Schizosaccharomyces pombe: one gene and its partners. Changing the gene in region 3 together with the main gene of any one other region gives a genetic interaction. Each region holds a gene or a part of one and is shown on either strand. Other genes may lie near its edges. The genes, in order: dus3, erg31, cyb502 and msa1.

Evidence for each region.
Region 1: mutations in cyb502 (region 3) and dus3 together harm fitness more than expected from each alone (negative genetic interaction), as found in Schizosaccharomyces pombe (one large-scale study listed by BioGRID).
Region 2: mutations in cyb502 (region 3) and erg31 together harm fitness less than expected from each alone (positive genetic interaction), as found in Schizosaccharomyces pombe (one large-scale study listed by BioGRID).
Region 4: mutations in cyb502 (region 3) and msa1 together harm fitness less than expected from each alone (positive genetic interaction), as found in Schizosaccharomyces pombe (one large-scale study listed by BioGRID).

The regions. Positions count from the first base shown.
Region 1 is NC_003424.3:4,427,874-4,432,292, reverse strand, and holds dus3 (tRNA dihydrouridine synthase Dus3), read right to left. Parts: upstream 2,658-4,419; 5' UTR 2,610-2,657; coding exon 2,569-2,609; exon of another isoform or gene 2,521-2,568; coding exon 708-2,520; 3' UTR 552-707; downstream 1-551. Other genes in the region: dihydroorotase Ura2, read left to right, coding at 3,488-3,604, 3,682-4,419. UniProt on the Schizosaccharomyces pombe protein: Catalyzes the synthesis of dihydrouridine, a modified base, in various RNAs, such as tRNAs and mRNAs. Modifies the uridine in position 47 (U47) in the D-loop of tRNAs. Also able to mediate formation of dihydrouridine outside of the D-loop of tRNAs.
Region 2 is NC_003424.3:931,913-936,014, forward strand, and holds erg31 (C-5 sterol desaturase Erg31), read right to left. Parts: upstream 2,057-4,102; 5' UTR 2,043-2,056; coding exon 1,140-2,042; 3' UTR 513-1,139; downstream 1-512. Other genes in the region: SPOM_SPAC1687.17C (Der1 family protein), read right to left, coding at 3,337-3,756, 3,835-3,900, 3,948-3,987, 4,031-4,077. UniProt on the Schizosaccharomyces pombe protein: C-5 sterol desaturase; part of the third module of ergosterol biosynthesis pathway that includes by the late steps of the pathway. Erg31 and erg32 catalyze the introduction of a C-5 double bond in the B ring to produce 5-dehydroepisterol.
Region 3 is NC_003423.3:2,574,146-2,577,269, forward strand, and holds cyb502 (cytochrome b5), read right to left. Parts: upstream 1,321-3,124; 5' UTR 1,284-1,320; coding exon 1,136-1,283; exon of another isoform or gene 952-1,135; coding exon 798-951; exon of another isoform or gene 750-797; coding exon 677-749; 3' UTR 518-676; downstream 1-517. Other genes in the region: Ragulator-Rag complex subunit Lam1, read left to right, coding at 1-69, 132-342; SPOM_SPBC2G5.01 (Ca(2+) binding protein), read left to right, coding at 2,476-3,124.
Region 4 is NC_003424.3:2,317,972-2,324,507, reverse strand, and holds msa1 (RNA-binding protein Msa1), read left to right. Parts: upstream 1-1,682; 5' UTR 1,683-4,268; coding exon 4,269-5,870; 3' UTR 5,871-6,016; downstream 6,017-6,536. UniProt on the Schizosaccharomyces pombe protein: Negative regulator of sexual differentiation. Acts by repressing the transcription of meiosis-inducing, ste11-regulated genes.

The DNA of each region.
Region 1 (4,419 bases), on a different chromosome or scaffold from region 3:
TTTGCCTTTGTAATATTTGAACATGAGATTTGTATCTCAGTTTCGTATCTTCAAGTTTGAATACTTTTATGTCTATCTTTGCTTTTAAGTTTGAGAAGGGTAGACATGTTGTGTGGAGTTTGCTTGATGTTTACGGGCTTGCATTTATCTGCATACAACAATCGAATTAGCTGTAAAGTGAACCTGTCTCCTTTGATTCATTCCCGTTAATTTTGCACTTACTTTATTACCTACATGATGGCTGTGTTTGTTTTGTTTGCTTTTTTTTTGTTTTTTAATTTTTTGTTTTGTCATTTTGGGATTCTGGATTTTTAATGGTTTTTATTGTGTATTAAGTTATTTTTGTACCAAATATCCTCTTGCTGTTATTATTATACCTTTTAAGTTAATAAATATGTATGGCAGTGTTATTTACCATATATTTGCTAAGTTATTTCACAACGTAGTTTCGATAGTAATTGTAGAGTACTGTAAGATCGTTGGTTAGTTCCCATTGGGTAAGTTGACTATATAACGTTAGATTCATTACCAATTTGCCTAGTCATTTGCGCATTTTACGAGACAAACACAGATCACTCGTATATAAGTCACCAGATATTTTATTAATCTACTTAATTCAATCCAGATGATAAGCCAGTATTAAGTATGAAAAGTTGATGATGCATATGAAGAAAGTGAATGCTCGATACACTAAGACCATAAGTTGTTTATCCCTCTGCCTCTTCCACACTATTGCTTTTGTGCTTTGGTGTAAAGGTGAATCGCTCAGGAGTAGGACCTAGGAAGAACTCACTCAATTTAACCCAGTCCGTAACTTTATTACTGGCCAAGAGAGTTTCCATCTCATCTCTCGCGGTATATAGAGGCGGTCTATCATTTAATCTGGGCCTTTGAACTTCGTACAAAGCTATAGGTGTATAACGATGGAAAAAGCTCATAAACTCCAAGAAAAATCTCCTAGTCGTATTGACTCCTTGAGAGTCAGAACCCCAATACTCTAAACCATTATTACAGTATTGTTCCAACATTTCGAGTCGTTGAGTTGATGACTTATCAATAAACTGACGAGCTTCAATTTCTTCAAAAATCCATGGCTTAACGAGTGCACCTCGGGCAATCATCACAGTATCAACACCCTTGTTAACACCATCATACCAATCCTGCCATGAATAACAGTCTCCATTTCCAATCAGCGAAAGAGGTTGGGTACGCAAGGAGTCCTCAGGAAGTTCATCTATTCTCTCATTCATACTTTTTACTTTAGAAGCAATTTCACCAATATAATCCCAATTTGCGTTTTTACTATATCGCTGTTGGCGAGATCTTCCATGTAATGTAGCAGCTGAAGTGTTTGTTTCGTTGAAAATTCTACCAATTAAATTTTTGACAACTGGGTGGTCGTCTTTGTTTCCCATACGAAGTTTTACGGTGACAGGAATTTGGCCAGATACCGCATCCATACCTTGGAGATTACGAAGTAACCTGCCAGGATTCTCGAGAAGAGAAGAACCGGCGCCTTGACGAAATACCAAATCTATAGGGCAACCGCAATTTAAATCGAGAAAATCAACGCCATCACATTGTTCAGCTATTACTTGTGCAGTTTTAGTGGCCTGCCAAAGTTTTCCGGTAGCTAGTTGGACCCCTAATATACCACGACGACCACCTCGCATCATTTCACGCTCATAGTTTAGCCCACGAACAAGAGCCCACTCAGGTTGATGACCTTGCATAAGTGGATAACACATCGCCATTTCGGAGTAAAACGTATCAGCACCCAGAGAGCCACAAAGACGACGAAAAGGTGGATTTCCAACGGTGGTAAGAGGAGCTAGAATCTTTCTGTCTCGCCAGTCAATGAGATTTTTTTCTTGAGGCCGTAAAGTAGGTAAAGCGATGTTTGACCGAGCTTGTGAAGAGATTTCTTTTAAATCGACATTGACCGAGACGGTTTGATTTTTTAACACCCCAGTTTCTTCCAGTGAAACAGATTCTGTCTCTTTTCCTTCGGAAATAGCACTAGTGGCATCTCTATTTTCCTCAGGAATATTGGATACTTTTGAAGAAGGGTCGGGCTTTTCTTCACCTAAAACTGCGGATATAATACTTTCAGCCTTTGATAGATCTAACTGTTTTGTTCTTAGCTTTCTCTGTACCTCTTTTCCAACAGTATTTACGGTAAAAAGCGTAAACTGCCCATCGGGTTTTTTTATAAGCTCGTACTTTCCGTCTGCATTGATAACAACATGGCCCGCTAGCCAGCGACATTTGAAACCAGCTGGGCATACTCCATACCGCTCGAATATAGGGCATTTGTCTCCAATGTCAGGTGCCTTGGTAGCAAGGTAAGCCTCCACATCGTGTGGGAATTTGCAGTTTTCTTTATATGGACACTCATTCCCAATAGATATAGCTGGACAAAGAGCGTTGTTCTCTTTTACGTGAATTTTTTCTCTCCGTTTATTTTGACCCCTCTCTTTACGCTTTCGTTTTTTATTTCCATCTTGTTTCACCAAAAATCTAAGGTATAGTTAGTAATTGACTATTGAAAGCGAGGTTCAAGCATACTCTTCCCGAATAGGAACCGCTCCAGTCTCCAATTCTGCCATTAAGTACCCAAAAATCCGATTTCCCTTGAATTTAGTAGTTTGCTTTATGCAAACTGCATATTTTCTCTAGATTCTGTGCGCGTCTGTGAAAATAAGATACGACGTAGCAGTGCAATATTCAAAATTAACGGTTTACATGATAGATTCGAAAAGCAATCATATTGCCTAATAGATAAAAAAAAACTCTAAAACTGCATAGTAATATTAACGCTATATGCTTTTAGGTACACAGTTATGTTTTGTAAAACGTAACAATGGCTGTAACTGTCTATTGAAATTAGAAATGTATAAATCTTAAAGACGTTTAGAATGCACACTTTTGAGATGCTGCTATTCATTGAGTTGTATATTCTTCAGATGCCAAGATATTACTAAGTTAAATTTAAACTGCTTTGTACTGATGACCATAATTCTTCATATTATGTACCTGTATATTTACACATAAACAGGAAATGCTAGTAGTTACACGTTTCGGATTTCTTTTATACTAAGGTAGATCTAATAATGGAGCTTCAATGATTAAGCAAGTAGCTCTATGCTTCCGAAGAGTCAGGACGGTGGTCTAATAATTAAGCTGTTGGTGAATTCTTATGTTTAGAATTAGGCATCTGAACTTTAATAAAAAGAATTAAGAAATAATATTTGGTTTAACTCCGATCAATTAAATCTTTGAAATTAGTTGGAGAATTATCGGTATAGTAAATTTTTTTGAAGTAATTATATTACCCTCACTAATTTATATTGAAAGAAACATACTAATTTTAAGTAGTATTTTTTTACCAATTGTTAAGATTGTTTATTCTTGGTTTAATTTAGCACTAAGTATAAAGTGCACCTTTCTAGTTACTCAACTTGACAATACCCACTACCTATACAAGATGAGTTTGAAAATACCTGGTTTGGCTGATATGCATGTTCATCTAAGGCAAGATAATATGTTAAAAGCTGTAGTTCCAACGGTCGCAGAGGGTGGAGTCTCTGTTGCGTATGTAATGGTATGTAATAAGTATTGTGCTATTCAAAAAATTTATTTGAAGGTTACAAAGGTTTAACTTTTTAACGCGTATAACAGCCTAATTTAATCCCCCCAATTACTACCGTTGATGCCTGTTTGCAATATAAAAAAGAAATTGAGCAGCTTGACTCCAAGACCACCTATTTAATGAGTCTTTATCTCTCACCGGAAACTACACCTGAGGTTATTTACGAAGCTGCAAAAAAGGGAATTCGAGGAGTTAAATCATATCCGAAAGGAGCTACTACCAATTCTGAAAGTGGTGTTGAAAGCTACGAACCCTTTTATCCTACCTTTGCTGCAATGCAAGAAACAGGTATGATTCTGAACATTCACGGAGAAGTTCCCCCCTCTAAGGATAACACCGTTTTTACGGCTGAGCCCAAGTTTCTTCCTACTTTACTAGACCTTCACCAAAGATTTCCAAAACTCAAGATTGTGCTTGAACATTGCACCACTGCCGACGCTGTTGAGGCAGTAAAAGCATGCGGTGAAAGTGTTGCGGGTACTATAACTGCCCATCATCTTTATCTCACACAAAAAGATTGGCAGGATGATCCTTATTGTTTCTGCAAGCCGGTAGCCAAAACCGAACGAGACCGACGTGCTCTTATTGAAGCTGCTACCAGTAAAAATCCCAAGTTTTTCTTTGGGAGTGATTCTGCACCTCATCCTAGGTCTTCTAAACTGAAGACGCCACCGGCAGCTGGTGTTTTTACCCAACCTTTCGCTGCTTCGTACTTAGCTGAAGTGTTTGATAAAGAGGGTCGTTTAGATGCTTTGAAGGATTTTGCA
Region 2 (4,102 bases), on a different chromosome or scaffold from region 3:
ATTGTTATTTTAGGAGTCATAAGTAGACCATCTTAGTTTGCTGAAAGTTTTTCAGCGACTTTAAAACTTTAATTGGATGAGAAATGTAATCGGTAATTCTTTCATTCTGGAAAGTATACTGCAGAATCTCATATATACATATATATCATAATTCTTATACTAGTAAAATGTTTGTGATTGATTCAATTAATATTTTATGGTTAGGTTTCAAAAGAATGTTTTGTTTTTATTATTGTTTAATTCATTTTTTTGTCCTCATTAAAAATTCTTTTGGTAGAGTCATTACTAAGTTTTTGCTTCGTAGACTACATGAAAGAAGCTGGTGAGGCGAAGTAATATTATGATTCAATACTACCTAAGATATAGCAAACATCAAAAGGGTACAAAATTCTAGGAAATCATCTGGCAACGTTAGATATCAATATGTAAATAGAAATAGAAAAACATGTAAATCTAATTACATACTAAGTCAATAAATGGAAAGGAGTCTGGTAATTTTTGATTAATTAGCAGTGGTTTACAAACGAATAGTTACTAGTTATTGCAAATCAAAATTAGTGTCGATGACATGTGTAAGCTTGACATTCATTTTATTTCAAAATAGAAAAGTAAAGATAAGAGCAAAATTTTCATTTCGTATACGAAACTAGCAAACAACTACAACGACGTGAACAGCAAAAACGAGTGTATTTGAAGTAAATTATTTGTGAGATGATAGTACCAATCAACCCAACTGAACAAACAACGTTTCAAAAGGGAGGTGGTAAGAAATTGCAAAGCAAAAAAAACAAGTCATTTGAAAAGAAAGGAGTGAATGACTAGATGCGAGACTTCCAAATTTTCTGGATTTATCGTTCTAAAAGAATAAACCGAAAAAAAACAAACTTGGGAATGCTAAAGAGACTCGAAATGTAAATTAGCAAAAAGTTTGCAAAGGATATATAAAATCGCTCACATTGTTCCTTTATAGCAACTGAAGGTAGAGCGGGTAAATAATGCATGTAATACCAACCATAGAAATAGAAATACGTGACCAAAAGAGTAAAACCAACGGGGAAAAATGAAATGGGAATGATGAAAACGAAAAAAAAAAGTAAAATCTTTTCAGAGACAAACTCTTCTGAGTCTAGATATGTTGTTTAATGGTTCTTCTTAGCAGAGTTAGCGATGTATTCTCTATCATCATCACCTTCAACTTCATTACGAATAGCCTCGTACTCCATCAATTCGACACGAAGAACATCCTCGTTTTGGCGAAGATCTTTGTCAAACCATGCCTCATCGGGGGCCCGGAAAGAGTTGCCGAGGCGATCAAAGAGGGTGGTGAATTGGCCGTAATTGTAGTTGAAATAAATGTGATGGCCATTATGGTGAGCAGCACCATTGATGATGGGGTTGTTGGAGATGTATTTACCATCGTGAATCATGATGGACCAGAAGTTGACAAAGGTGAAAAGAGCCAAGTAGGTCAACTTGTGAAGGGGAAAGAAAAAGGGGAAAAGATGGTAAGGAAGAGATTGTAAGAAGCCATCAGCGGATTTGAAAGCATGGGATGCATATGGAGTGCAGATAATCCACTTATGATGGAGTTTGTGAAGACGAGGGTATACATAACGGTGATGAAGGAAACGATGAGCCCAGTAAATGCCAAAATCTGAGAACATGACAAAAAGAGGTAAGGAACATAAGAAGTATTTTAAACCGTAATCACTGATGTTGTCGTATAAGTAGCTGTACCCATGCAACTCAGCCAAAAACCACGGAACCGTCAATAACGCCATACCAGGTAAGTTTTGTAAAGCCGTTAGAACTTCCATGAACACCTGGTTTTTTAAGAACTTTGGGTGATCCATCAGACTTTTATCAAACACAAATTGGTAGGAAAGCGACGCAAATGTTAAATACAAGAACATACCGCCAAACCAAGTTAAAAAAAACAAACTGATCGACTGTCTAACGATATTGTCGCGAGCTAATGGATATACAGCATTGTATATCGAATCCAGCGCATATTGGTCAGCATAGTTGAGTAGGTAGTCCATTGAGGTGTTTGCTTAAAATCTATTGACCGGTGGTAGCGTATAAGAAGTACCAAAAAATGGTCTGATTTTGATTGCGATATCTAGTTGGCTGCTATTAATTAGTCAATAGGAAACCGAGTTATCTTTTTCGTTAAAGTTTTTATCAAAAAACAAAGAGGTGGCTTATACACTTCGGTTAGTGAGAGGTAGATAGGGCAGATCGGAAAGGACATCACTGTGGCGGGAAGAATCTCTTACACTTACTATGTGGGGGAATAGTACTACGGGGGCTCGCTATTCAACAAGTACAACGAGGTTGGACATGAATGTTTGATATCGAGCAAGTGGGTATATATTAGTCGAAAATAATCAACTTTACGATACAAGATCTAATCTTAAAACTATTATAAGTAAATGAGATGAAAAATTAAATAAGAAAGATAAAAAATTGAAAAAAGAAGGTTAACATTCCTCCATCTCGGGTTTGTTCTCAAAGGCTTAGAGGTTACGCTAGATTGCTATTCTTAGACTTGGACTAATTTGGTACCCCCATTTTGTTCTTTTTAATCCACTTGCATTTGTAAGTCTAGGAACGATAATGGTATTTCTCAAGAGTATGCAATATGTTGCTGATGTTTTAAGACGATAAATACGCAGTTAGAACATAGTCGTTTAAAAAAAAAAAAAAATAAATAAAGTAAAATAATAAAATTATTTAAAAACAAAAATTTTGGACAAGCCAGAACTCGAATCTGGGACCTCTTCCATGCTAAGGAAGCGTGATAACCATCTACACCACATGCCCATGTTGAAATACTCGCATATAATATAGTATATAATTTACATACTTTACATTTTCATTATATCTTAAATACAACACTTTTAAAATGGAAATAGCGATTATTCAGAAATCATAATGTTGCTCGCGCATAAAGTAAACATACAAATAGTAGCTTGTAGCCCAATTTTTTTTTTAAAAAAAAAAAAAAAAAAAAAAAAAAAAAAACTAATGAGATAAAACATTTATTACTTAGTTTTAAGAAATAACAAGAAAAGCTCGAATGGCTTGGCAAACCAGGAAACGCCTGCGAATTCCTGAAATTTTCGTAATATTATTCGTGCCCTTGATTAGGGAAATCATTCATCTAACATTTTAGATAAACAAAAGACAGTGACTATTCGCCATCCCTAGTCTTTCACAAGCTCAATAGAAATCGACTTGTAAAGATAGAAAAGGAATCAATAGGCAGCAGTCAATCAGAAAACAAGTGTGGTATTTATTTACTTTTTTTTCTTTTCTTATTCTCTTCAGGCGTCATACTGTAGAAAAATCTGTAACGAAGAAGTATACATGTCCAATCAAAGCACTAATTAAATCAAGCAGTGGAAAGATCCCAGTTCGTAACCAGCGCAATAATACCATTACCCATGGAACATAAGGTGCTTTTACGTCGAAAAGACCTAGTATCGAGATTCTGTACAGTGGATGTTTCCACGACCATATGTATAACATGGTAAATGAAAAGTAAGAAGCTGCAAATGGCATGTAGGAAAAATAGGAGGTAACTAAAAGAGAAAACCATACTATCAATACCGTTTTTAAGAAGCTCTGTGTTTGAGGCGGCGGACTAGATCTTTCTAACATACTCATGAAACGAAGTAGAAACGACAAATATAAAATCAACTCTAATCCAAAAGGCCCAACATAAAGGAATGTAGTTATTGCCCTCCAGTACTAAATAAATCTTGTTAACAAGCTAGAATTAGGGAAATCACATGTTATGTCAAACATTACTTCAATCACAAACCGTACCTCCCCTTTTGCTAAAAACAGTTTCCAATTAAAAAATATCTTAAGATCGGATACATAACCAAAATTCTATATTTGTAAGCGATACCATTTATGAAAAATTTGAGTAAACATACCACTGCCAATGTTGTAAATAGGGTTCCAAGTACGATGTATCTGCATAAAAATTAGCGTGTACTCTCAATATTTCATTTCTTACCTCGTAACCGGAGGAGTTTGGCTTATAAATTCTGGCAAAATTGCCATTTTTTATATATTTTAGCCAGGATGT
Region 3 (3,124 bases):
CATTGACGTCTTTTCTTTACGATTGAGAACCGAAGCACCTCAGCGAGACCCTCGGGACAACATTTATGAGTAAGCTTTTGATAAATTCTTTTTATACAGTAGAAACTATATTAACATAATGATTGCGATAGGGAGGTATTAGATCAAATCGACTCATTGAATTTAGATCCAAAATACGATGTTGCTAAACCTACCGAGCAGGAAACCGAGTTTATAATAAGGAAACTAGGTGTTTTGATTGATGATATTAACAACATTAAGCTGAGTGATAAAGAAATCAAAGGAAAGATGGTAATCAATTTATCTAAAGTCCAACCGAATATTACTGGAAGTCCTTCATAAGCCCAATAGAACTAATTTTTCCATTAGTTATATTCCACTTCTGATTACATACTTCCCTCTTTACTATTAGCTAAATCTTTTTGTTATACTTTTTTGGTTTGTTTAATATCTCCATGAGTTAATTACATGTTACGAGCTGAACTCATTGTTTTTAAGAGCTCTCTTACTGAAGGAAGACATTTAAGAAATATATTTTTCTAAGTTAACGTTTATTTTGTTTCTTTAGAAGCCTTGAAAACAATTGCTATCCATAATAATATTGAGTGATACTAACATCGCGAAAAACAAAAGAAGGTATAAAGATTAGGAAAATAAATAGGCAAGCCTTCGAAGTTTATTTGTTAAGCTTAACAAACACAATTACTGCTATGGCTGGCAGGACAATTAATGCGATTAATAGAGGCAATCTGTTCTGTTAGCATGAAACAACCATCGTACACAAATCATTTTCTTACGGAGGCGTATCATTATCAAATGAACGAGGTTTCTTTAATTCTTTGAGTCTCTCCTCAGTTCCGGGTTTTAAATCACCAATATACATCTCTTCTAGTAACTCATCTGCAGCAATAGAGTGTCCAATGTCCTGATAGGCCTTAGTGGCGTCCTGGCCTAAAACAAATAGTTAGTGGACATGTTTAAAAAGCCGTATACAATGTTTTAATCAAGAAGGCACACAAGTGAAGAACTGATGAATGAAACGATAGCGATTAAAAGTATACTATCGCTTTTGAGCATAGCAGTCTCCAACATAATATGGTGTTTACTTCTACAAAAGTTTTGTCGAATTATTTACCTGCATAGTCCAACATTATATCTAAGCCTCCAGGATGATCATCAGCAAAGTTACTAACGTCGTAAACTTTTCCATTAATGACCATGTACATGTCTTTGGAATTATTGTGCTCCACAATCTCCTCAGGTTCAAAGTATTTCACCGACATCTTGATAAATAAATCTATATAATAAAAATCGTGTGTTGAGGGGAGTTGGAAAAAGTTTGCGAAAGTTTTGATATCGCTAGTAGAGAAAATCTCACGTTAGGGTATCGTGTGGTAGTAGTAAATAATCGAACAAACGAGCTCAAGGAATTTATTTAGCAGCCAATGATAGGCAAAGCGGCATGTACAAAATTCTGCCAGATTTTCTGCTTAACCAAAAAGTGGATAGGAATAATATTTTTTTACCAATAAACAATTATTGTTGAGGTATGGAGGATTTCTCATTTATATCTTTTTATCTATAATGATCTAATAACGATAGATCTCAATATCCCTCGCAACTTTGATACAAGCTTAATTTAGCTAGCGTTAAGCTTATGACATTCTTCAGTAACGGTATGTTACATGTTTGAAAAAAAAAATATGTCCTAGGTATAAAGTACAACAGGGTGACTAGCTTCCTTTTATTTGCTTTGTTGAGATTAACCGATCGTATACGTAAACAAGCAAGTACAAAATGACTTTCTTTTATATAGAACGCATGAATGTAACTAAGATTTTGAGTAAATGCGTAGCAGTTCGTACAACTATCATTTACCAAATAGATAAACTACTACCTTTGAAAATTGTAACGCCATATAGTTTCTCTGTCGGATATATTCAGTTGAAAGCACCATTCATTGCTAATAAAACACCAATAATTACAGAACCGATCTAGTAATATACATTTAGACCAACTGAGCTTCTATGCTTGTTTGTCTTTGCAGACTGTTTTTGTAACTTTTGCAATAACAAGCTGAAGTGCCAGTACAATATTCTTGAGCATCCGTTAGCTATCTAATTTTGCTTCACATATAGCAACTAGAAAAATAAAAATAAGTAAAAAGAAAAAACCTCAAAATTATGTTGGATATAACTAGTACAAAGTGTTTTCTCCACGTCAAAAAAAGTGTCACGAACCGGGATCGAACCGATGACCAACAGATCTTCAGTCTGTCATGCTCCCAACTACACCATCGCGACATGTTCTGGTTACCGACTTATTTTAAACTATCTATATACACTAGTTAATCTTCCCACTCTAGGAACCGGCTTGTCTCGTTCGTTACTTATTTCACCACGTTCAATCTCACTTCGTACAACCAGTGCCCTTTTTTCTTTCACGAAAGTCAGTAAATTTACAAGCGGAGGAACCATGATTAATAAAAAGCTTTTGTTTCTAGTTTTTGCACTAGCTAAAGGAGTACTGGCTGATGAGGAAGATGAATACGAAGAGGATTACAATATGAATCCCGAGTTGGAGAATCCAGGAATGTTCAAGCATGTCGATTGGAGAGATTTCCGTCTTGAATTTGTTATTCTTGCTTGTTTTTTCCTTTATGTTTTTTCTTTTATCACGCAAAAGAAGAAAAACCAAAAAATCGCTTCTCGCTGGTATGGTTCCTTACAGTCTAGCTTTCGCCAACAGTTTGCACAATATGGACCAGGTCCTAACAGTTCTCCAATCATTTATGACTCTCCTACCGAGTTTAGCTCCTATCTTACTGGACGTCTCAACGTGAAGAATGTGTATACAACACTTCAGCTTTTTCCTCGTCAAGATTTGTTAGCCTACTCTCTTAATCAAATCGTTGAAATCCTCCTGGGAAACGTTATGTCTTCTGTTTTACCTGTTGCTGACCGTTTTCAATTCGATTTAACTCTTGCAGACCAGAACTTGAAGGCTGAGCGTTTTGTTTTCGCCATTGTTCATAAAGACTGTATGCGCATTCTTCGTGAAATACGTTACGACTTAAGCTTTACCCGCATTTCTTCCTCTCCTTACTTACCGGAAACTCATGTTT
Region 4 (6,536 bases), on a different chromosome or scaffold from region 3:
CAGTAAATAATAACTGGTTTCCCTGGTATAAGACATAGTATAAGAACGAGAAGAAATAAATCATATATGGTATTTTTTTTGTTTGGTTTAGTAATGAAGTTCTTTTTTTTTAAAATGGCCCAGTAATAAAAAAGTTCACGAAGAACGTAGTTAGAAAGCTTGATAAATAAATTAAATGAAATCTATGCTCTTTAGAAAGTTCTATGATCTGGCTTGGAGAAGAGTAGTACATAACAGTATGGTAATGTAGTTAGAGCTTCTCTTAACATGCGTACGTTTTCATACCTCTTAATAGTAGGGATGGTTCAGTTCATACAGCTACCTAGTTCACCCCATCAATCAATCAATCAATCGATACAGTCACTCTTCAAAGCATTTTGAGAGTTCTCCCACAGATTTTATGCTAGCTGGAGTTCCGACTTGTTTATTAAAGTAGGAAGGTTGGAAGCGAACCATATCTAACAAACTTTTTTCAAAACGAAAATTAAAAGCAAATTAAACTTTCATTGTCTTACGTCCCATGTTAGGGGGGGGAAGCAGCTAAACAATGATGATTTATAGATGGTTGCCTCGGCTATTATTTACTTTGTTTCATATCTGAAAGAAGAGTAAGGGATAGGATACGCCAAAGATCCACCATAAAACGGTTTATCAACAAAAGGATCATCATCGAATTTGGTTTATGAGTCTTTCAAATGTACTCGTGTTTGTTAGTTTAACATACTATTGCATCCACTAGAGATAGTTAAGAGAAGCTGATTTACAAATGATCGGTTTCGACATGTCTGCCAAGTTATACTTTTAACGTATTACCAAGAAAAAAAAATTTACGGGACGGGGATTCCATTCTTGCTGCTTTGGTTTATACTGTAAGCATAACAGCAATCTTAAATTGAATCGTCTTTGCCAAGCGCATTTGTAAGAGTATTGTATGCTATGCCACGCAGTGCATTTTCATATCCAACGCTACATACAATTTGTTGTTACTCTTTCTGTAGACCATTTCGGAACGTTGATTGAAGATCGGAAAATTTAATGTTTCGTCCAGAAATTGTCTGCATATGTAGTATCACAGAGAGTGTCAAGTCATATCTGACAGCATCAGGTTAATGAGCTTAATTTGGGCCAAAGGCGAGCTAGAAAAGAAGAAGAAAAAAAGAAAAAGTAAACAGTAAAGAAAAACATATAACGACTCTTATTCATCCTTCCTCAGCATTCCCTTTTTCATATTTTTATCCCATTCTAATCCTAGTCTAAGAAATGCTGGCGATATAGACCGAGTCTACTGGTGTCTGGAAAGGAACATAGCTATATCTATATATAGATATAGATATAGATATGTATGTATGCTTGTATTTCGTTGGCAGTTTTCTAGTTTAACTAGCAAAATACAAGAATTAAAATTAGTATTAGTATTATTATTATTATTTTTAAACATTTAAACATCGACTAATTTTTTCAACATCTGTTTTCACTTTCAAGTATCGACTACTTTCTACATTCCAACGATCCATTCTTTATTATAGATTCACCCTTTTCCTCGATAAATAAGCACCATTACACATACTTAAAATTTTTGTTTCAAAGGGAAGCTAAACTGTACGACGATGTTTATCGTTATACTCAGCTGTCACTTATCCAGAACTCACTCCATCAGAGTGCGTGCATTTAGCTTGCTCCCTGCACATCCCACTACAAAGTGTTAGAGATAGGCAATCGGAGTTAGAATACCGAGACTTTATTCCAAGGTAAAAACACATCTAGAAATGGGGACAAACAAAGAAACAAAAGGTCATGTGAATGTTAGATTCAAGGGGTAGAGTTCGATATCTCAGCAAGCGATTCCTTTTTTTTTTTTTTTTTTTTTTTTTGAGAAAACCTCGGTACACGCTAAGCTGGCTTTTCCTATTGTTACTCCTTTTACTACTAGTATTATACTATTGCTTTGCTTTGTTGAATAAACAGTCTATAGAACGCTCAAGAAAATACGACGAAAATAGTTTATTCATAGCTTGACAAACTAACTACCTTTGTTTTGTTTTGTTTTTTTCTTTTCTTTTTTTTTTCGTTTCTTAGCTTGGCTATAGCTTGCGTATTCTGTCTTTGTCAGTCATTAATCCAGACAGTAATATAACATATTCACCTTGTTCTTTTAAAGGTCTCCCTTTTTTTCTTTGTTGCTCATCTAGATTGTGCTTAATTTTTTTTTTGTATACTAATCAAAATTCAATTTATTTTTCTTTAGTTATTTATTTGTTTTTTTTTTCGCTTTATTGGATCCTATTGTAAAAAATCATCTTTTTCATTGTGCTTGCAATTTACCTTTCTTTGACGATTACGCCTTTGTTCACGACTTTTAGCATTCTTCCTTTTTCTATCTCCATGGGGCCGTTGTTAACTTACTCCTAAAATTTGTAGTTGCTTATCTTCACAACCAAAGGATGCTTCGGTGCAGCACCCAATTTTTAGCCCATTACCCTGTGCCCAATTCTCAATGTCTCATCATTTGTCAATACTAGCTTGTTCCTTATACTCCCTGTAACCCACTATCTAAGACATTGTGGAGAGGGAAATGTTGGCAGTAGTGATATACTTCCGAATGGACAATTGCCTATCAATCGTGGTAAAGGAGAATGGCTAGAATTTAGTAAAATGATATGGCCCAAATAGAACGGTAAAATTACTAAAAGATTGAGGATTTGAGGCAGCGTCTTGGTCGTTTGACTAATTATTAGAGTGTAAGCAGGATTCGGATGTATTGCTCCTTTAGTTAATCATATCGTCTGGTTTTGCTCCCTAATGTCCCTTGTCCTCTTTTATGCCGCCTACATTACCGATGAAGAACACGTGTTGAAATCCCCGAGTTTGCAAGTAGTCTTGATATACAATGTCTTTTCCTCGTATATTCCGAGCAGATCTAAACCTTCGTCGTGAATAACCCCCTTCTTTGCTTTCACCTAAATCAATTGCTATTCGAGGGTTTTCGATTCTCTCCTTTCTCCATTAACATACTAAATTCAATTTCTCTTTGTGTGGGTTGCTTCCTTTTTGCTGAGACGTCTCCCCGTCTTCCATCCTGTCTTTATCAGTTTTGTTGCATTTCTGATCACCCATTTTTTCTTTTTTTCCTTTTCTTTTGTTATCTATCGAATACCTCCACATTGCTTGAAATACTAGTGAGACTGCGTTTACCTTCTCTTCTCATCTGATTCTGTCTGTGCCATTGAGCTTTCCTTCGCTCTCCTCTTGCACCTTTTGTTGCGTTTACTGGCTTCTTTATTTTTATTTGTTTTCTTTTTCACCTCAAACTTTCTCTGTGTTCAGCTTTTCGAGATATTCAACTGCAATTGTACTGCTCTTTGATTCTTTCACCTTTTTCAATTCGAACTTGCTACTCCCTCAAGCTTATCCAATTATTTTTTAGCTTCCACTTGAGAAGAGTTCTCTCTATCCATCACCCAAAAACTGAAATTTCATCTTTGTGAAATTTCTTTCACGGTCTGATCACCGTGCAAGCTATTTCTATTCCCCATTTTACTTTTCTCATCATCTGACTCTTATTCTGGAAATACTCGTTTCCCCCACTCAAATATATATTTATTCTTTGGGCTTTCCTTAGACTATTGTTAGACTGCAAAGTCTCGTTTGGTTTACCTACTGTCTATCTCTGGTTTTGGTTTTTCATTTTCCATTTCTGTTTCAGCTGGTTTCTCAAAATCTTCATCCTTTCTTTCTTTCTTTCTTTTGACTCGTCATTTTTAAGAGCCATTCCATTTCTTTCTTATTTATACGTGTATAATCTCTATTTTATCTTTGCATTTTTGCACTAAATTACCATACGCTTGCGTTTTTTTCTTTCCCTATTTCTGCAATTTTATTACCTGAGTAAAAGTTTTCCCATTCGTTTTTTCCTATCCCTTCTTTGATCAATTTTATTTATCTTTTCTTTTGACCAAATTTTTTCTCTGGGGTTTTTTTTAAACTTTGTTTTGAAGGAAATTTTAAATTAATTAACTTTTAACTTTTTCAGTTGAAATACTTTTCATTCTTTTTTCTACGCAGCTTTTGGATTGCTGTTGACACATCATCTCATAACTATCTATTGTATTCCATATAATCGACTGATACGACCTCCATCCCACTTTGGCGCAGGCATCTCGTATAAAGTTTTGTCTTTTTAATTTGATATCAATCCGGCATCCTTGTTTCATGCCCCTTTATAGATCCTTTCTCATTCCAAACTTTTTTTTTAAACACATTATTTAAAAATGGTTGTTTCCTCTCCGTCTGTATCTTTATTGCATTCTCCTGTCGAAAAATTATCAGCCCAACTCGAAAAAACAACGCTTTTACAAGACATTCCCCCAGGTTCTTTATCCGAAAATGATAATTCCACTACCTTTATAAAGCCTCCTTTGGAAACTGCATCATCAAGCACCCCTATCCCAAGTTCCTCTTCCAGTGGAGTATTAAATCCGTCGTCTGTCCGTGGAAAACCAGTTGCCTGTTTATTTGTTGCTAGCTTAAACTCTTCAAGGTCTGAGGAAGAGCTGACTGCCACTGTTAAAGATTACTTTCAACAGTGGGGTCCTTTGTTGCATGTCAAAGTTTTGAAAGATTGGTTGCAAAGGCCTTATTCTTTTGTTCAATTTCAAAATACTGATGATGCATCGAAAGCACTTTCTGAAGCCCAAAACACGATATTGGATGGCCGTCATATACGTATAGAGCGCGCCAAAGTTAATAGGACAATCCGTATATCCTCTGCACCCCATCAACCTTACATTACAAAAAAAGACATAGATAACTTATTGGAACCTTATGGCGAGGTTGAAGATGTCACGGAAATACCAGATCAATCCGCTTTCTTAGTACGGTTTGTTTACAGGGATGAAGCAATCGCAGCCTATACCGCGCTTAAGCATTCTGCCTGGCCTGTACTTTGGGCGGAAAATGTGACATATCAAAACGGTCACTATAAGAAGAAAGGTTCCTCCCCGTTTTCTCCACCTAACGCACATAGTCGAAGGCGAAAGTCGCAAGGCAAAGATCAGTCGAACACTCCTGTTATCAAAGCACCTGCCCCTATTCCATTCTCAGTTTCTTCCGATCCTCCTTCTACCATGGGAAGATCAAATTCCGCGGTTCAAAGTCCCTCATACTTTGCTCACTCATTGGTCAATTCTACTGAATTCAGTACTCCTAATGAATCTTTAAGCTCCTTACCGAGTATATTACCTTCAATACCCTCTTTAGAAAGCGGCAAGGCCGAACTCCCAACAGATGGTTCTTTTGAACAGCCTGGATATCCCATGAACCCCTCTATGATGTTTGCTGCAATGCCTCCACCGATTGATCCTTATTCTATATTCGTTGGCCAACTCGACCCAGTAAATTGCACACACTACTTACTAGTTGATCTATTTTCCAAATATGGAAAGGTAATCGATTGTAAAATAATTCATCAAAGCAAGAAGCCTGCTTTTGCTTTTCTAAGGTTTGATTCTCAACAAGCCGCTTATGCTGCCGTCTGCGGTAAGACGAGGTCCCCACACCAGAAAAAGCCTTTGCGTGTTGAATTTCGTCAACTAAGACCAATGCAGCAATTTTCCCCTCAATATCAATATCCCTCCTATCCATATCCGATGTTTCCAGCGCCATTTTCACCACCTCGTAATGCAATGATGCCAATCCCTGCACCCATGGATCAGTTTTCAACATTTCACCAGTCAATGGCTACCCTTCCTCCTGGTGCCGTTCCCACATCAATTCCTCAGTCGTACTATCCCATTTATTCTCCAGAAATGGCTATGCCTCAATCGTACAGTCCGATGTATTATACGCATAACCCACCTATGGATGGGAATTAGATTTATTTTGAATTTCCCTTCATTATCTGATTGAGGTTTCACTTCTTTATACAGTCCTTAAGTGTCGGAGTTTTTTTTATTAGGTACATATTCTATAAAACACTAATAATTATCTAATTTATTTTACTTAAAAGATGCAAATTGGCTGCAATTATATTTAAAAGATTTAGAGTCATAAATGTTATTATGTTCATATATATGTCTTCTATATAATTTTACGAATTAGTGTAACTCGTAACAGTTCTCTACTTTACGCATTAACGATATAATGATATTAGATAGAAGTTTATTTATATATGCTCCCAAATATAGATGTTCTCACACATGTATCGTATACACTCTAACCATTTGATTATTTTCACTACATAAATTTTTACAAAAATACTATATAAAGTCAATTCATTTTATGAAATTTTTAATTTGAGGCTGTAATATTACGTGAACTTTTTATTTTGGCTTACTGGCGAACTGAAAAAAGAAAATTAGTTTTTTTTTTAACAGACCTCTATTTCATAGCTTTAGACTTTCTCAAAACACTAGTTTCATATAAATATTCCTTATAGACACTAAATACAAAAAAAGGTTCGTGAGGTAAAGAACCAGAAAAAGAAAAAAATTATAAAGACAGGACAAGCATAAGTTTACAAGGGACTATTATATACGGGG